2 linked regions of the Styela clava genome follow. The protein of the gene in region 2 purifies or fractionates together with the protein of the main gene of each other region. This does not show direct contact. Links are inferred from orthologs where the notes say so. Each region holds a gene or a part of one and is shown on either strand. Other genes may lie near its edges.

Region 1 (9,391 bases), on a different chromosome or scaffold from region 2:
AAGTTCTGTGGCGTGGTTATCAAATGAAAAAACAAACATGGGAGTATTTTTTCTACTTCTCTACTACTATCAAACCTTGACATTTTGTGAAAACTTTTTTCCATGCAACCTTTTTTAAAACATCCCCAACAACCACAATTACTTCTGTTATTAAACTTCCGAAACAAACACATAAAATCATCAACAGATGAATATCACCAAGTAGATATTGCTGAATTGATCTTTATTTTACCATTTTGCATGTAATTCTTTTTGGTAAACCTGTTATCTGTCGTAAATACAGCACATTTGACAATGTTGTAGTGTGACTATTTTAGCCTTTAAATGAGGCGGGGTTAAAATTCGAAATTTCCGAATCAATCTCCGTGATTACATGCTTGTCTTACACTTGCACAGTGTGTCCCACATTCGAGACGATTGTCTTTCTTCCCGAACATTAAAAAAGTTGACTTTTCAGCGTATAACGATTTATCTGTCTAGTAAAATTTAGTTGTGTTCAACGTAACTCGAAATTGTATCGATTGACGGCAAAATGAAGTTATGGACAAAGGAAACTACACGGACAACGTGAACTTAAAATCAATATGTCCGCTTCTGCTTGTTTAAAGACTTGCTTGGAGTGATATCGTATACCGCCCTATTAGTAGATAGTAGCACATTACATAATCTATCGCTGGGCATAAAATAACAAATCTTTATGTGTGTGGTATCCAACTTCAACCATTGCGTGAATTAATATGTTCTTTCTGCTTGTCTAAAGCCTTACATAGAGTACTATCGTAAAACGCCCTAATAATAACTAACAGCACAATGCATAACCTGTTGCTGGATATAAAATACCAAATCTTTAGATGTGTGTGATCGTGAGGTGGCGGGCCTCATTGAGTTTGTTAACATAATCGCCGACGCCATTGAGGGTGATCAGCTCTATTTCGTTATTGTGACGTCGCAGTGGCGTAATTTTTGGATGACGAAGTCAGGTGAGGGTCAGGAATATTATATACAAAAATTGTTACGCTAAGCCTAATAGAAGTTATTGAGGTAAGAAACTACACCCATAGCGGACACACAGGCGTATTTATCACGATTGCATTATGGTCGCTATTATTAGGCAAGCTCTATTTCGTTATTGTGAATTCGCATTGACGTTATTTTTTGATGACGAAGTCAGGGCAGGGTCAGGAATATTATATGCAAAAATTGTTACGCTAAGTTAACTAGAAGTTATTGAGGTAAGAAACTACATCCATAGGTGTCATTACTAGTAATCGTCGCTATTATTGGGCAAGCGTTATTTCGTGATTGTGACGTTCCAGTGACGTAATTTTTGGATGACGAAGTCAGGTGAGGGTCAGGAATGATATATGCAAAAATTGTTACGCTAAGTTAACTAGAAGTTATTGAGGTAAGAAACTACACCCATAGCGGACAGACAGGCGTATTTAACACAATTGCATTATGGTCGCTATTATTAGGCAAGCTCTATTTCGTTATTGTGAAGTCGCATTGACGTAATTTTTGGATGATGAAGTCAGGTGAGGGTCAGAAATTTTATATGCAAAAATTGTTACGCTAAGATAATTAAAAGTTATTGAAGTAAGAAACTACATCCATAGGTGGCATTACCAGTAATCGTCGCTATTATTAGGCAAGCTCTATTTCGTTATTGTGACGTCGTATTGACGTAATTTTTTGATGATTAAATCAGGTGAGGGTCAGGAATATTACGTGCAAAAATTGTTACGCTAAGTTAACTAGAAGTTATTGAGGTACGAAACTACACCCATACCGGACACACAGGCGTATTTATCACGATTGCATTATGGTCGCTATTATTAGGCAAGCTCTATTTCGTTATTGTGAGTTCGCATTGACGTAATTTTTGGATGACGAAGTCAGGGCAGGGTCAGGAATATTATATGCAAAAATTGTTACGCTAAGTTAACTAGAAGTTATTGAGGTAAGAAACTACATCCATAGGTGTCATTACTAGTAATCGTCGCTATTATTGGGCAAGCGTTATTTCGTGATTGTGACGTTCCAGTGACGTAATTTTTGGATGACGAAGTCAGGTGAGGGTCAGGAATGATATATGCAAAAATTGTTACGCTAAGTTAACTAGAAGTTATTGAGGTAAGAAACTACACCCATAGCGGACACACAGGCGTATTTATCACGATTGCATTATGGTCGCTATTATCAGGCAAGCTCTATTTTGTTATTGTGAATTCGCATTGACGTAATTTTTGGATGACGAAGTCAGGTGAGGGTCAGGAATGATATATGCAAAAATTGTTACGCTAAGTTAACTAGAAGTTATTGAGGTAAGAAACTACATCCATAGGTGTCATTACTAGTAATCGTCGCTTTTATTGGGCAAGCGTTATTTCGTGATTGTGACGTTCCAGTGACGTAATTTTTGGATGACGAAGTCAGGTGAGGGTCAGGAATGATATATGCAAAAATTGTTACGCTAAGTTAACTAGAAGTTATGTAGGTAGGAAACTACATCCATAGGTGCCATTACGAATAACGTCGCTATTATTGGGCAAGCTCTATTTCGTTATTGTGGCGTTGCAGTGACGTAATTATTGGATGACGAAGTCGGGTGAGGGTCAGGAATCTTATATACCAAAATTGTTACGCTAAGCCTAATAGAAGTTATTGAGGTACGAAACTACACCCATAGCGGACACACAGGCGTATTTATCACGATTGCATTATGGTCGCTATTATTAGGCAAGCTCTATTTCGTTATTGTGAGTTCGCATTGACGTAATTTTTGGATGACGAAGTCAGGGCAGGGTCAGGAATATTATATGCAAAAATTGTTACGCTAAGTTAACTAGAAGTTATTGAGGTAAGAAACTACATCCATAGGTGTCATTACTAGTAATCGTCGCTATTATTGGGCAAGCGTTATTTCGTGATTGTGACGTTCCAGTGACGTAATTTTTGGATGACGAAGTCAGGTGAGGGTCAGGAATGATATATGCAAAAATTGTTACGCTAAGTTAACTAGAAGTTATTGAGGTAAGAAACTACACCCATAGCGGACACACAGGCGTATTTATCACGATTGCATTATGGTCGCTATTATCAGGCAAGCTCTATTTTGTTATTGTGAATTCGCATTGACGTAATTTTTGGATGACGAAGTCAGGTGAGGGTCAGGAATGATATATGCAAAAATTGTTACGCTAAGTTAACTAGAAGTTATTGAGGTAAGAAACTACATCCATAGGTGTCATTACTAGTAATCGTCGCTTTTATTGGGCAAGCGTTATTTCGTGATTGTGACGTTCCAGTGACGTAATTTTTGGATGACGAAGTCAGGTGAGGGTCAGGAATGATATATGCAAAAATTGTTACGCTAAGTTAACTAGAAGTTATGTAGGTAGGAAACTACATCCATAGGTGCCATTACGAATAACGTCGCTATTATTGGGCAAGCTCTATTTCGTTATTGTGGCGTTGCAGTGACGTAATTATTGGATGACGAAGTCGGGTGAGGGTCAGGAATCTTATATACCAAAATTGTTACGCTAAGCCTAATAGAAGTTATTGAGGTACGAAACTACACCCATAGCGGACACACAGGCGTATTTATCACGATTGCATTATGGTCGCTATTATTAGGCAAGCTCTATTTCGTTATTGTGAGTTCGCATTGACGTAATTTTTGGATGACGAAGTCAGGGCAGGGTCAGGAATATTATATGCAAAAATAGTTACGCTAAGTTAACTAGAAGTTATTGAGGTAAGAAACTACATCCATAGGTGTCATTACTAGTAATCGTCGCTATTATTGGGCAAGCGTTATTTCGTGATTGTGACGTTCCAGTGACGTAATTTTTGGATGACGAAGTCAGGTGAGGGTCAGGAATGATATATGCAAAAATTGTTACGCTAAGTTAACTAGAAGTTATTGAGGTAAGAAACTACACCCATAGCGGACAGACAGGCGTATTTAACACAATTGCATTATGGTCGCTATTATTAGGCAAGCTCTATTTCGTTATTGTGAAGTCGCATTGACGTAATTTTTGGATGATGAAGTCAGGTGAGGGTCAGAAATTTTATATGCAAAAATTGTTACGCTAAGATAATTAAAAGTTATTGAAGTAAGAAACTACATCCATAGGTGGCATTACCAGTAATCGTCGCTATTATTAGGCAAGCTCTATTTCGTTATTGTGACGTCGTATTGACGTAATTTTTTGATGATCAAATCAGGTGAGGGTCAGGAATATTACGTGCAAAAATTGTTACGCTAAGTTAACTAGAAGTTATTGAGGTACGAAACTACACCCATACCGGACACACAGGCGTAATTATCACGATTGCATTATGGTCGCTATTATTGGGCAAGCTCGATTTCGTTATTGTGACATCGCATTGACGTAATTTTGGGATGACGAAGTCAGGTGAGGGTCAGGAATGATATATGCAAAAATTGTTACGCTAAGATAAGTATAAGTTATCGAGGTAAGAAACTACATCCATTGCGCTAAAGCAAATTAATATGTCGGTTTCTGCTTGTCTAAAGCCTTGCATAGAGTGAAAGCGTTCCACGTCCTATTAATAAAATGTGGCCCAATACATGATCAGTCTCTGGATATTAAATAACAAGTCTTTATGTGTGTGGTACCCAACTTCAACCATTGCGTAAAATAACATGTATTTTCTGCTTGTCTAAAGCCTTGGTTAGAGTTGTATCGTATAACGCTCTATTTTAGATTGTAGCACGATACATGAGCTATTGCTGGACAGAAATTGGTCAGAATGGGATATCGTGAACGTTCCTTGGCGACAATTTAGTCGCTTGTGATTCTTGTTTATTTTGAGCTCTGTACAACGACCCCGATAAGAGAGAGGTCGCTGACGTATTGAGTTTGTTGACATACTCGTAGGCGCCATTACGGGTGACCGTCGCTATACTTTGGCAAGCTGTATTTCGTTATTGTGACGTCGCAGTGACGTAATTTTTGGATGACGTCATCAGGTGGGGGTCAGGAATCATATATCCAAAAATTGTTACGCCACGCCCACTAGAAGTTATTCAGGTAAGAAAGTACATGAGACCCGGATCGGACAGGTTTGATGCAAGTTGCAGAGTTGTGCTGGAACCACAGTGACTACGGCTGTAGTCACTTTGCTGCTTTGGCTAGAACCAGTGTGTTTTAGGTATTTCTGTTTTTGCAATGGCTGAGACTGAATGTGTGATTTAAATATTTTTTACTCAGATTCTTGCCAGTTTTCCCTATCTTTTGTGTGTTCATGGTTATATTTTGGTGTATGTGTACATTTTTCTAGTGGGATAAAAGTAAACTTATTGTTATAATAATAAGTATAACTTTATTTCGACTCTGTAATCATCATACAGTCATAACAGACAATAAAATGATTGATAAAAACATAAAGAGGTGAGAGGAATGATATGTTCACTCACCCAAAAATACAGAAATATGAAATTAATTCACATACATACCTATACCTGTATTCGGATATTATACAACTCTATACGACTGACCTGGCTTATTTCGGTATTTCAAAGATTTCTTTCAAAAGAAACATTGGTCCTATAAAAAATCACTTCAGCCCATTTTCAGATTTTTGATAAAATTGCTAAATTACAGAATTACGGGACTTATATTCTTTGTCTTCATTTACAGATAAATTTCTGACTTTAGTAAGGTAGGGTAATATTATATATTTTGACGAACGTATTTGTAAGCTAACTGTATCACAAAACAAGACTATATCTCTGGAAAACTGCTATACTCGGACTACTAATTTTATTTTATGAAAATTTTGCAAAATGTCTGGAAATCCATGGTTGGATGACGTGGAGTCGTCGTCACGTCCGCCAAATCGATGGGCAGATGATGACGAAGAAGATTTTGATCCAGATAAAAACTATCTTGAACAAGTTGTCAAACGTAAAGAAGTTGATATGGTTGCAAGCACCCAAAGATCATTAGGAATGATTTATGAATCTGAGCAAGTGGGAGCAGCTACTGGGGAGGTAAATATACATATAAAATAAATGTACAACCTAATTTCCTATTACATGTTTCCCTAATTCTCTAAAGTCAAGCCGAGTCATGGTCTCATGTCGAGTCGATCACTGAGTTAAGACTCGCCTGGCGATTATTTAGAGTACGACTCTGGGTCACTTTCGAGTATTCAATGAATGAGGACTCAAGTTTAGTCAATGTCCTAAGTCTCCCAAGCACTGTTTATCATCATGTTAGTTTGTAATGAATAGTCCTCCATATTTATTGCTCAGGTGCTTTGATGTATTGATAGACCTTTGGAATAGCCTTAGATCATTGTAAGCGTGGCCTATAAGGTACACAAGTGGAGAGTTTCAACTTCCAGTAGTAGGGACATCCTTAAACATTCAGTCCTGACAGTGGAGTATTATTCAATTTTTCCGTGTCCAGATGTCTTATTATCATTAACTTTATATTACAGGAGCTCATAAGGCAAGGCGAAGCTTTAAAACGCACTGAACAACGGGTTGACCGAATGGAACAAGATTTAAAAGAAAGCGATCGACATATCGCCAGTATAAAAAGTTTATGGGGAGCTTTTGTCAATAAATTCAGGAAGGAACCTGCACCAACTCCAGTCACAACATATGATGATTCACAACCAGACTCACGGTTAGTTTTAGTCAAATATGGCCCACCTTGGTATATGACTAAGTAAAACAGATTGATTTCATAGAAGTTTTTTTCGTGTGATACAGGATACTAAAATATAAAGCTCTCGATAACATGTTATTAAAAGATTGGCATTGATATTCAAATTTCTTTCTTTAATAAAATTCTAGGAACAGCAGTTCAGTTTTCATAGTGTTTTTGTGCAGTGCAGGAGTGATGGTATATAATGCTGGAAATATCATTCGTGATCAACTTTTCTTTTTAGCGATTGAGTGAGACATATATTTTTATTGGCATAGTCAATGCTATTTCAAGGGTGTTAATGACCATTTTTGAATGTTCAAAATTGATTTATTTATACATCGTATAATTTGTCCTACTTTGCAATTCTGATGCATAAGTATCAAATTATAAATATCTGAATTTTTTTTAAATGGCTTTAAATTGGTTTTTATCGAGGTAAATCCAATAGATAATTTAATTGGACTCCTGTTAGTCTAGAATGTAATTGGTTTTGAGCATATTTATTATTAACAGGGATTTATGATTAGGATTAGTCTTCATTAGGAAGTGAAATCTTAGTTTAATTTACTGAAATTATTTATTATGATTATAATTCAATCATCATATTGATAGTTTCAGTTTCAATAGTTATATAATGTTAATTATAATTTGATGTAGTGTGTGCTTGTAGCATAACTTATTCTTGCTTGGCCTACGTATATGGCCTATATATATTGTTGGGTTCCATTACATTTGAACCCACGTACATTTGAACCCATGACAATTGCACCTGTATGCTATTGCACCTATGGAATTTTTTTGTTTTTCGGATAGTTGAACCCACACTAACCCTAACCCGTGGATATACACATGGGTTCAAATGTACGTGGGTTCAAATGTTTGGTCACCATATTGTTGGTGTTATTTTCTATAATGAGTTGGTGTTGTGATCATGAATGCTATGTTTCACCGTGTAGAAAGTTTAGACAAGTTATATCAATAGTTGACCTTTGAATCATCATATGATTCATTTCCCCCTTTTGGAACAGAGTAAAGTTATTGTACGAAGTGACCTTTACAATAAGCTGTTTCACATGGCTATTTTAGCTGACTGAGAGTCATTGATGTGAAATGAGGACATGTGAAACAAAATTGTTTTGCTGTCAAACCCTATTCTCTTGCCAAACATAGCCATATATGAACCATTAGACTTCCATGTATAATTCCTAAATTATTTCTAAATAATGTTGAATGTAAAAGGATATCGGAAATATTCACATTCCATTCCAAACTTTGAGCCATTTGAAAAAGACTGCTTGACAAAAAATTTGTCTCTGGCACCAGAAAGATAATTTAGACTCCAGCTCTTCTCTCTAAGAAAATCATATTTCTAATGAACACAAATGTTGTTACTGTAGTTGGAGAAATCTGTGGACGAAAAGCAGCTATCATAGCAAAATCTCCCTAACTAGGTTTTCAAATTTAAATCTTCTTTTCCAGGTTAGGAAAGGCCGTCGTGAATTCCAAAGTATCTGGATATCAACCTGAAGAAGATCATCCAGTATTGTTAAGACAAGATGATTCCAGGGAAAGATATGGAGCAGGATATAGCCAACAACAAGCTAAGAATGAGAGAATGGCACAAGTCGATGATAACTTGGGTTTGTCTCGAATTTATTGCTGCCTATTTATGTCTGTTAATAAGATTCAAATATAGTATGATTTTGTTTGCTCAAGTCCATGCATCTGAAATAAATAAATGCTTAACTAACTCCATACCTGGATTGATACCCAGACGAAGTCCGCCATATGATTATGCAGTCTTATCGTCTTTCCCTGCCCCGATGATAATCAAAGTAATAGGAAGTGATAGGACTTCCATATGACTGATGTCAGGTATATAGTTTGGGTATGGAGAATGGGACATATTATTACTGAATATTACGATGTAGCGAATATAAATACCATACATCGTGAAATTTATGATTACACAGCAAAAAAACTTAGTATTAGAGGTTGAGGCTAACCTTTGTCTGAGTACTTACTGAGTACTATTGGGAAAAAGTCTGTGAAAAAGTAATATTCCTATTATCAAAGCTACTATCAGAAATTTTTGTTAAACAACACTACAGCTCCCTAAACCTGAGTGGCGTGTTAAGTCAGATCAGGGATTATCTGATTAATTAATGAGTCTGGGTGGTCGTCTCATTTTATGACTCAAGTCACTCATGAGTTTTAACGATAAATGGTGACACGAATGCAACCTGACTCAAGTCTTATTAACACTGGTAAACACCAAATATCCTTGTTATCTCTATTTCAGATCAAATTTCTTCGGGATTACGAAGGCTCAAAGATCTTGGAATTGGTTTAGGAGAAGAAATTGAATCACAGGATAGGATTTTGACAAGGCTTGGTGATAAGGTCGAAAGAGTCGATAATAAGACACACATTACTAGCAAGCAGTTAATGAAATTGAATCATTCATAGGCTTTAAAATATGTTGCTATTTTTGTCCATATATTATTGTAGTATTTTTCATAGATGTGATTCCTAAAAAAAGTAGAAGCGGCTGAGCATTAATGAATAATTTGTAAAAATAATGATGAAATTCAACATATTGCTTCTTGAATTGAATAGCGGTTTTCTGATCCACTGGATGCATGTCTCAGTTTATTTGTGTATTCCTTGAGTTTGTTTTTAGCGAGATTTTTCTA
Region 2 (8,712 bases):
CTATTGGCCACTCAGAAAAGAAATCGCCCACCCCTGATATTGATGTTATTAATACAATATATTATTGAAATGCCCACCTGCCCAAAAAATTCTTCCATGTGATCTGGTTCAACTTTGACAGTGACTTCATCATCTTCATCTTCTTCAACTCCAAAATTAGCTTGACGCTGAAATGTGAAAAATCAAATAATGATCACAGTCATGATTTCACTGCACAATATTACTGGCAACAATACAAAAAACTGTATATTAGAATGCGCTGTTAGTTCAGCGGTATATAAAGTGAATTGAATATTGGATACATTTGAAATTGGTTATGTTCAATAGAGTTTCTTGAAGCATAATTTTAGGAATAATTTAAAAACGTTTCATTTTAAAAATTTGTCCTTTTGAACATTTGACATCTACCAGAAAACCAATAGACTTAGTTCAACTTCTGATATTAACCAAAACAATGTTTATCTGAAGTAGCAAACTGAATATCTATAAATTTAAAATGATTTTGGTACATGTGTATGCATTGAACATGACTCATTTTAGAATATATTCAATAATCCACCTTATTTTATTGTGTGTTCAGAATAGTAAATCATTTGGCTTTGGCTAACTATTGTTGTTGATCTATCGTTCGCGAAAATGTGTGAGTTTTACATGTGATTAAATTGTTTTTTAATATAAGTATCAGTATTGATATTGATAATCTCAAATCGATTATATCTGTTGTATCAACTTTGTATGTGAATTAACTCTGAGCATATCCTCAGATGTTTTCCAATTACTTTTCACTAGTGTTTTTAACCATCTCTGACAGTTATATATGTATGAAATAAAGCATTGAACTGTTCTCAAATATGTCCTGAGAGGCCATTATTGACTCCTATATCCAAAATACAAGGTTTGGATACCGAAACTTTTGAATTATGCTCATGATTCTAAAATATGGCACAAGCTGGAAGGCAGGAAGGCAGAATAATTTTGGTTGGACTTTGATTGTTTTGGGCAATCAGTTTAACCCAAGACTTGGGTTTGGACAAAATTAAGAATCCTCTTATCAATAGATTTATACAGACTTAGTAGCTATATGTATAAAAAAACATTTACCAAATAGGGGAATTGCAAAAATTTATCAAGTATCCCATGAATAAAAATTACTGTATTAAACTTAAAATGAAATGAGATGATACTAACAGGTCAGATCCAGGTCAATCCATAGACCATATTGCATTAAAAAAAGGATTTCGCTTTCAGATTGAAGATATCGCTCAATATGCAAATATTATAGATCGATATTAATAAAACTTTCAAGCCTGGAAGAAATCTATATCATTATCAGATATGAGTATCACGGAGAAAAGAAAAGCTCAGGCACCTACAAAAGACAGTGGCAATTAAAAAATGAAAAGTTAGCATGTGCATATTTTATTTATGCCAACTGGTAGGATGGACATAAATATTACATGAAGGACAGAAGGCAAGGTGCTTTAATACAATGCTACCTCAGTCCCAAATGTGATATTTCTGTTCAATAACTTTTCTTGCAACAAGATTGATTACATATTCTAGTAGTACAATAATTTGGCAGAATACAGCAAATATTTCTATGCTTTCCTTCATTCATTGTCCCTTAGTTTCCAGATAAAATAAAGAAGTACCCAGATGAAACCTCCTCCTCACTTTGACATGAGAGTTGTTTCTATTATTTGGGCTTACACCTTATTCTTTTTCAAGAATTATTATTTCAATGGCAAATGGGGCCTTGAGAGTTTGATGGATAATTAAGGGAGGTGGATTTAGAAAATATTATACACACACTTTAATCAGAAATTGTGAAATTGTAAGAATAAACAAGGAAACACGTCACATTCACTTGAATTCAATCACTGGATTTTACTCAAATTTATTTGTGATAATACCTGGTTTTAAATGTGAACTCTTGTTTATTAATAAGAGCTGTATTCAGTAATAAAAGTGCTTATCAACGATAGCACCCAATAAGTGCGTGTGTTGATCAACTTTTATTAGATATATATAACATACTGTAGCATAGGTTGCGAAAATTTATCTTATATGTGCTTGCTAATGAAGTCAATTACCAAATTTTTCATAAGATGCCCAACGAGAGAATAATTTATTTGCTGATATAAAATTTAGGTACCTAATTAGAAAATTGACAGAAGTGGCTCCCCAATAGGACTTCAGAACAAAGATACAAAATGAGACAAATTTATAAATTATGACAGAATTTAACATTTTCATAGCCTTGTTAAATACTGCTATAAGGCATAAAAACAGTACATGATGATCATGTGTTCAATTCCAATATCAGGATTTCAGAAATGTAGAAATTTTCAGTCAGAGCAAATCAGACACCTTTTTATAATTTATACCACTTTTCCATCCTTATAAAAAGCTGTGAAACGGCCAAAACAATGGATGTGTGTATGTGAGTGTGTGGCTTAATAGGACAATGGAAAGACAGGATATGATGGCATTTGATATTAGCATATTCACTTTTCCCAGTCACTTTACTTGAAAGGCTACTTGGCTTTAATTTTTTTAAAAGTGGAGTGAGACCAGAATCCACTGTCGCTTGCAATATGCAGTGGTAAATCAATCATAGCAATACAATATTGAGATAAATAAATGGATGCTGAGATATGTCCAAATCTTGATTAATTTTACAAAGTTCATACTAAGGCAAGTAAACATTCAAATGAGAGTCCATCAAAATAAAATTACTAATGATATTCTTATGGTAAAATGATACATTCTATACTGGGATTTGCCACTTTGGTCCCAGCAATTCATACTTCAGTCGTAATAATAGCAACATAGATGACACTGTGTCGGTTCAACACATCATAAATGAGTCACCAAGGTGTAACACAGTATATCACAGCAAACTGTGTGAACAATCTGTATGGTAGCAAACAATCTACCGTATATAGTGTATGGCACAAATGACAATATTTATCGATTGATTGTTAATAACTGAGCAATCATTAGAAATCAATTTAATATGAAAATTAAAAAGCATGATGTTTCAAGAAAATTATGAATATTTCTAGCTGTAAGCATTATCTTTTATTTTAAAACTAATTTCTAGTTGATGTATTTTTTAGTTGTATGATTGTTAGCTGTGTATACATGCTATATCCTGATCAAATGTGTACAAATTATATAGAGATTTATTATATTTGTACCTCCATCACATATGTCTGAAATATATGTGATGAATTCAGAGCTTAAACAGACTTGTATTACATAGCATTAGATACATTTATTGTCTTTCTGCTTTATTTTTATGACTACAATAGAATAGTGCCATTAGTAACGCAAACACTTGCTTGATACAGGCAAAACCAATGTGAAGCCAATCTAGATTTTCATAAAACTGAGGAAACATAATGAAACATAGGCTACATAATGAAATACATTTTGCGATAAATGAAAATCGGTCTTCTTTTGGTAGAATGACAATTTGAGCGAAATCAAAATTACCTCTCATGCGTGAATTATGATTGTTCGAGATAAAAAGAAAAAAAAATACCAAATATAGGCCTACTAGGATAACAGTATGAATTACGGTATCTACCGGTACATAGAATGTAGAAGAATAAGGTTGTGACAGCTCTTACAGATCACTCCACCAAATACCACAATTAATAAGGACAACCCTGGCTGTATATTTATTATACACAAAAATGTCCAACACACTGTCATTTATCCTCAAATAATAACCCCAAAATAGACTTTATTATAACTAACCCAATGACCTATGAAGCATTAAAATTTAAGTAGAGAACCTACCTGTAACTCCTCCAATCGGTCCCTCATCTTGTCAGGAGAAGTTGCTTGTAAGAGAATCAAAAAATGAAGGCTATTTTAAAATCTAAACAGTAACTCTGGAAATATATCCTTCAATATACATCCAAAAATTGCTGGCTTTTATGTTTTATTCCAATACAGTTTTGATGGAGTAGATATACAAAATTCTTTATTACCCTGACGGTATTTAATTTAATCAGTTCGTTACCCTGGCATACATTTCTATAAATAAAATTTTCAAAGCACATTATTGTAAGTAACCATAAAACAGAATTATATGGAAATACATGCAGAATACAACATATTTGATAAATTATGATCAGAAGTTCCTAGATTCTGTCACTAACCCACTAAAAAATATTTTAAATGTGAAAAACTTGATATAATCTTAATCCATCAAGAACTAAACTATGATACTGAGTGCATAAATAATTTGTTATGAAATATTTTTAACTTGATAATAAAAATTTGGCAATTATTGAATGTAAGGGTCATTTAAAGTCAAATTGACCTACCTGCCAAGTCCTAATTTTGTTGCTCAAATTGACAATTTTTAAATTCTTCAAATTTGTCGTTTTATTAAAAATACATCTTTTAAAATACCGACTATAGCTACAGTTATATTAAAATATTGGAATACAGGTATAATCCAAGACTTATAATTACCTTATTCACCACCTGATATAACCAACTAACTAATCTGAAAACTCTCACTATATATATTATATATTGACAATACATATTATTCATTATATTATGTTTGATCCACTCAAAAATGAAAATCTAACTTATAACATAAAAAGACCCTGTCCCTAACTCAGTCACAAAGGATCTGTCTTTCCCTGGAATATAATTATCCTAGCAAACACAAAAAGCAAATAGAAATATTCTCTCCTAATCCAAACACAGTTTGGTTCCGCAATGTTATATCCAACACTCCATCTCTATTGCAATTATTTATTAATGCATGGAAGGACACAGCAAATGAAATTTTGCTCAGTCAATAATTATTGATTTGTTGGAGAATGAAAATGAATTGAATTTCCAGAAGTCAAATGGACACAGGAAAGGATTATTCCTTAATGCCAGATGTTTGAAGAATGCACTCTGTTTCTATGGATCAATGAAAAATGAAATTTTGATTAAAAAAATTGATTCTTTCGAAAAGTAACTAATAGTTTATATTGGTTCAAATGCAGACATAATCAAATTAGATATACTTTGCTTGCTTGTAATTGATAGATAAAAGAAACCACTGTTGGCGTATCAGACCATGTAGTTCCCTCATATGGGTTCACAGAGTCAAATCCTGTAATGGATAATTATGTAAGATTCCTTTCTGGACCCCTCGCTGTCATGAGATGGTTCACACACTCGCTGTCATGCGATGGTTCACACAACAGCTGTTTAACAATGGCTTTCTATACCATTTAGTTCCGGGTCTCGTGTAGTTTCGTACCTCTAGTGGGGATAGAACATAACGATTTTTACACATATCAATCCTAACCCCCACCTGACTTCGCCATCCCAAAATTATGTCACTATGACATCACAATCACGCCATTGCCAAAGTATACCTACAATCGCCCGAAATGACATCTGCGCCGACGATGGAAAACTCACTGACGGCAGCAATCTCTCTCATATCGAGATCGTTGCCACAAGAAAAACAGCTTGCTCTATTTCGGGTGATCGTCTGCGCGTATTGAATGACAGTTCGTATAGTTTGAAGGGCCTCATTACATCAATGCAGCAATGCGACATCGTACTGACATAATTTTGGGATGAAATTGTTATGCTACGCCCACTAGAAGTACTTTAGGTACGAAACTACACTAGATCCTTAGTTCCCACATTAGAATCAAATAACTAGTCAAATATCCCTGAGCAAGGGATAGTAAGTGAATGCATTTAAGTGAAGTGCCATCTGATTAACCCATCCTATCAACTCTTCTCTCCTCTAGAAAAATAAGCCTATAAAATCAAATTTAAAGTACACACAAGACAACCTTAAACAAGTATCAGGGGGACCTTGACATATTGAAACCCTGACATATTGAGTACCACACTTATCTGTTAAAGATTGCTTGATTTCGAACACAAGTCAAGGTCATTGATTCCTAATGATATCAGAGCATCAACGTGATGAACAACATGACTAACAACTTGATAAACAGAGATGCCATAAATGTGCATATTCTCCAATTCTTTCATACATTTTAACTTCATAAGACTTCCCTTTATTTAGAGTCCATTACAATAAATATATATTATATAACCTGAAGACCTGGATGTAATAAACAAAACCCCCTATGGTTGATTTCAATGTTTCCCAGAGCTTTGATTCTTATGTTTATTTCCATAACAATGACCAATCAACAATAAGTTCTTGATGACATAACAATTGCAATTTATGCAGCTGCTCAGAAAGATTTTCAAGCGTGGTAGTAAACATTGCCCATTTTTGTCTTTTTGCACGTTATTTGTCAGTTTTAGTTGTTTTTCCAAAAATCAGTTGTAAATAAAATAATTTAATTGTCATTATTTTTTATGTAATACCGGTACCGTACCTGTAAGCAGCACGTCCTCAAATATTGCATAAAAAATGATAGTTTTGAACATGTAAACCAGCTTCTACAGGTTACCGGTACTCCTTAAAACTTTCTTAAAATAAGTACCGGTATCAAAACTTTTGCGATAATAAAATATAAGGATAATTTTACTGAGGTCAAGCATTGGGATAACATACACGAAAATATTCTCCTGCCTTTAAATACAGACGACAGTTGAAAAATACATTACTTCAGTAGGCTACTTCAACCTGGTGCAGTGTTGCTAGAGTGCTATCTGACTGTGATATAGCCTACATACCGTACCGTATACTGGTATACGGTACACGTCTCTCAACCAAGTCCACAGCAGCATAGATCTGTGTAACAGTACCGGTATATCGAAAAATACCTACCTCTGCAAACATTTAGCCTCTAATCTGATAATACAGTACCGTAATAGCAATACCAGATACCGGTACCGGTACCGTACGGTACGGTGCCGGTTCGGTTGCTAAAATAAACTGCCGGACGGTACGGGGCTGACGGCTAACTCGCCATGGAGGCTAACTCGCCATGGACCACTCGCCATGCGACGGCGGTTAACGGGTTAGCCTGCAACTGTGCGGAGGCTCTTCTTGTAATGGGAGATGGAAAGGTGGCTGTTTATACTAACAACTTCAATAGTAAGGATAAATATATTAAATTAAATGTGTTTGGTTACAATACCTACTGTGCAAATGGTAACAAAGTGACAAGAAAACGGGCTTATATGTCGGAAGGCATACCGGTACCGTACGGTACTCGACGCGCAAAAGATGTCTCAACTTATCATTTTCATCTAAGCATGCTAAATATATCATCATATTAATTGATTGTATGAGCTCTGAATCAACAACAACGCTAAATATATCAAAAGTTCTATTTTGCTACCGGCAGTCTCATTTTATTCTAACAGCCGTTGATTGCAAGCAGAGAGGGAGAGAGAGAGCTAACTCGCCATGTCTTTATTCTTTATAATTGACGATCGACATCGCGAGTTCGAGAGAGAGAGAGGGCTAACTCGCCATGTCTTTATTCTTTATAATTGACCATCGACATCGCGAGTTCGAGAGAGAGAGAGAGGGCTAACTCGCCATGTCTATTTTCTATATAATTGTCGATTGCCCTGATGCCGGCTGATATTAGTGTTAAGCCAACTCACCACGACAAGGTTTCAGCCTTCGAGTCAGAATTTCTTTTTACCAGAAGAAACCCAAGCACAGATAGGCATCATAGCTGTACATGGAAAAGAAACTGAGGAAGGGGAAAAATACTTACACTAGGTTACTTACTCTTTACAAAAGGCCGGGCCGTAGATTTTTGAACATCTTCGAAGGAGACATGGCGAGTTAGCCCTCTCTCTCTCTCGAAATGTCGATGGTCAATTATAAAGAATAAAGACATGGCGAGTTAGTCCTCTCTCTCTCTCGAACTCGTGATGTCGATCGTCAATTATAAAGAATAAAGACATGGCGAGTTAGCCCTCTCTCTCTCTCTCGAACTCGCGATGTCGATCGTCAATTATAAAGAAAATAGACATGGCGAGTTAGCTCTCTCTCTCCCTCTCTGCTCGCAATCAACGGTTGTTAGAATAAAATGAGACTGCCGGTAGCAAAATAGAACTTTTGATATATTTAGCGTTGTTGTTGATCCAGAGCTCATACAATCAATTAATATGATGATATATTTAGCATGCTTAGATGAAAATGATAAGTTGAGACATCCTTTGCGCGTCGAGTACCGTACGGTACCGGTATGCCCTCCGACATATAAGCACGTTTTCTTGTCACTTTGTTACCATTTGCACAGTAGGTATTGTAACCAAACACATTTAATTTAATATATTTATCCTTACTATTGAAGTTGTTAGTATAAACAGCCACCTTTCCATCTCCCATTACAAGAAGAGCCTCCACACAGTTGCAGGCTAACCCGTTAACCGCCGTCGCATGGCGAGTGGTCCATGGCGAGTTAGCCCTCATGGCGAGTTAGCCTCCACCCCGGTACGGTACCTAAGTTACGGTACCGTACGGTACCTAATGTTATAAGTTAATTACTGTTTCTCTTGTTATTGAAATGCACTAGAACGCACGTAACAGACCCAGTTTTTCAGGTCGTATTTCCTGTTTTTCCAGATGAATACCGGTACCATACTAATCCGCCCGGGAATAGAATTCATTAAATTACCCAATTATTTAGCAAGCCAGTGCCACCCATTTCAAAGGGGCGTCTTCATTTGCTCTACAGTGCCATCGTGTGCAACTGCACGTGCAGTTTTAAGTATTCCGTGGCG

The links.
Region 1: the proteins of syntaxin-1A-like (region 2) and synaptosomal-associated protein 29-like purify together in Drosophila melanogaster (affinity purification with mass spectrometry; 3 studies listed by BioGRID, with this or other methods). This does not show direct contact. The link is inferred for Styela clava from reciprocal best matches to the Drosophila melanogaster genes Syx1A and Snap29.

The regions. Positions count from the first base shown.
Region 1 is NC_135264.1:14,194,804-14,204,194, forward strand, and holds the start of synaptosomal-associated protein 29-like, read left to right. Parts: upstream 1-5,674; 5' UTR 5,675-5,821; coding exon 5,822-6,028; intron 6,029-6,480; coding exon 6,481-6,671; intron 6,672-8,174; coding exon 8,175-8,335; intron 8,336-8,997; coding exon 8,998-9,164; 3' UTR 9,165-9,391.
Region 2 is NC_135252.1:6,862,136-6,870,847, reverse strand, and holds the start of syntaxin-1A-like, read right to left. Parts: upstream 4,047-8,712; 5' UTR 3,838-4,046; coding exon 3,811-3,837; intron 168-3,810; coding exon 78-167; intron 1-77.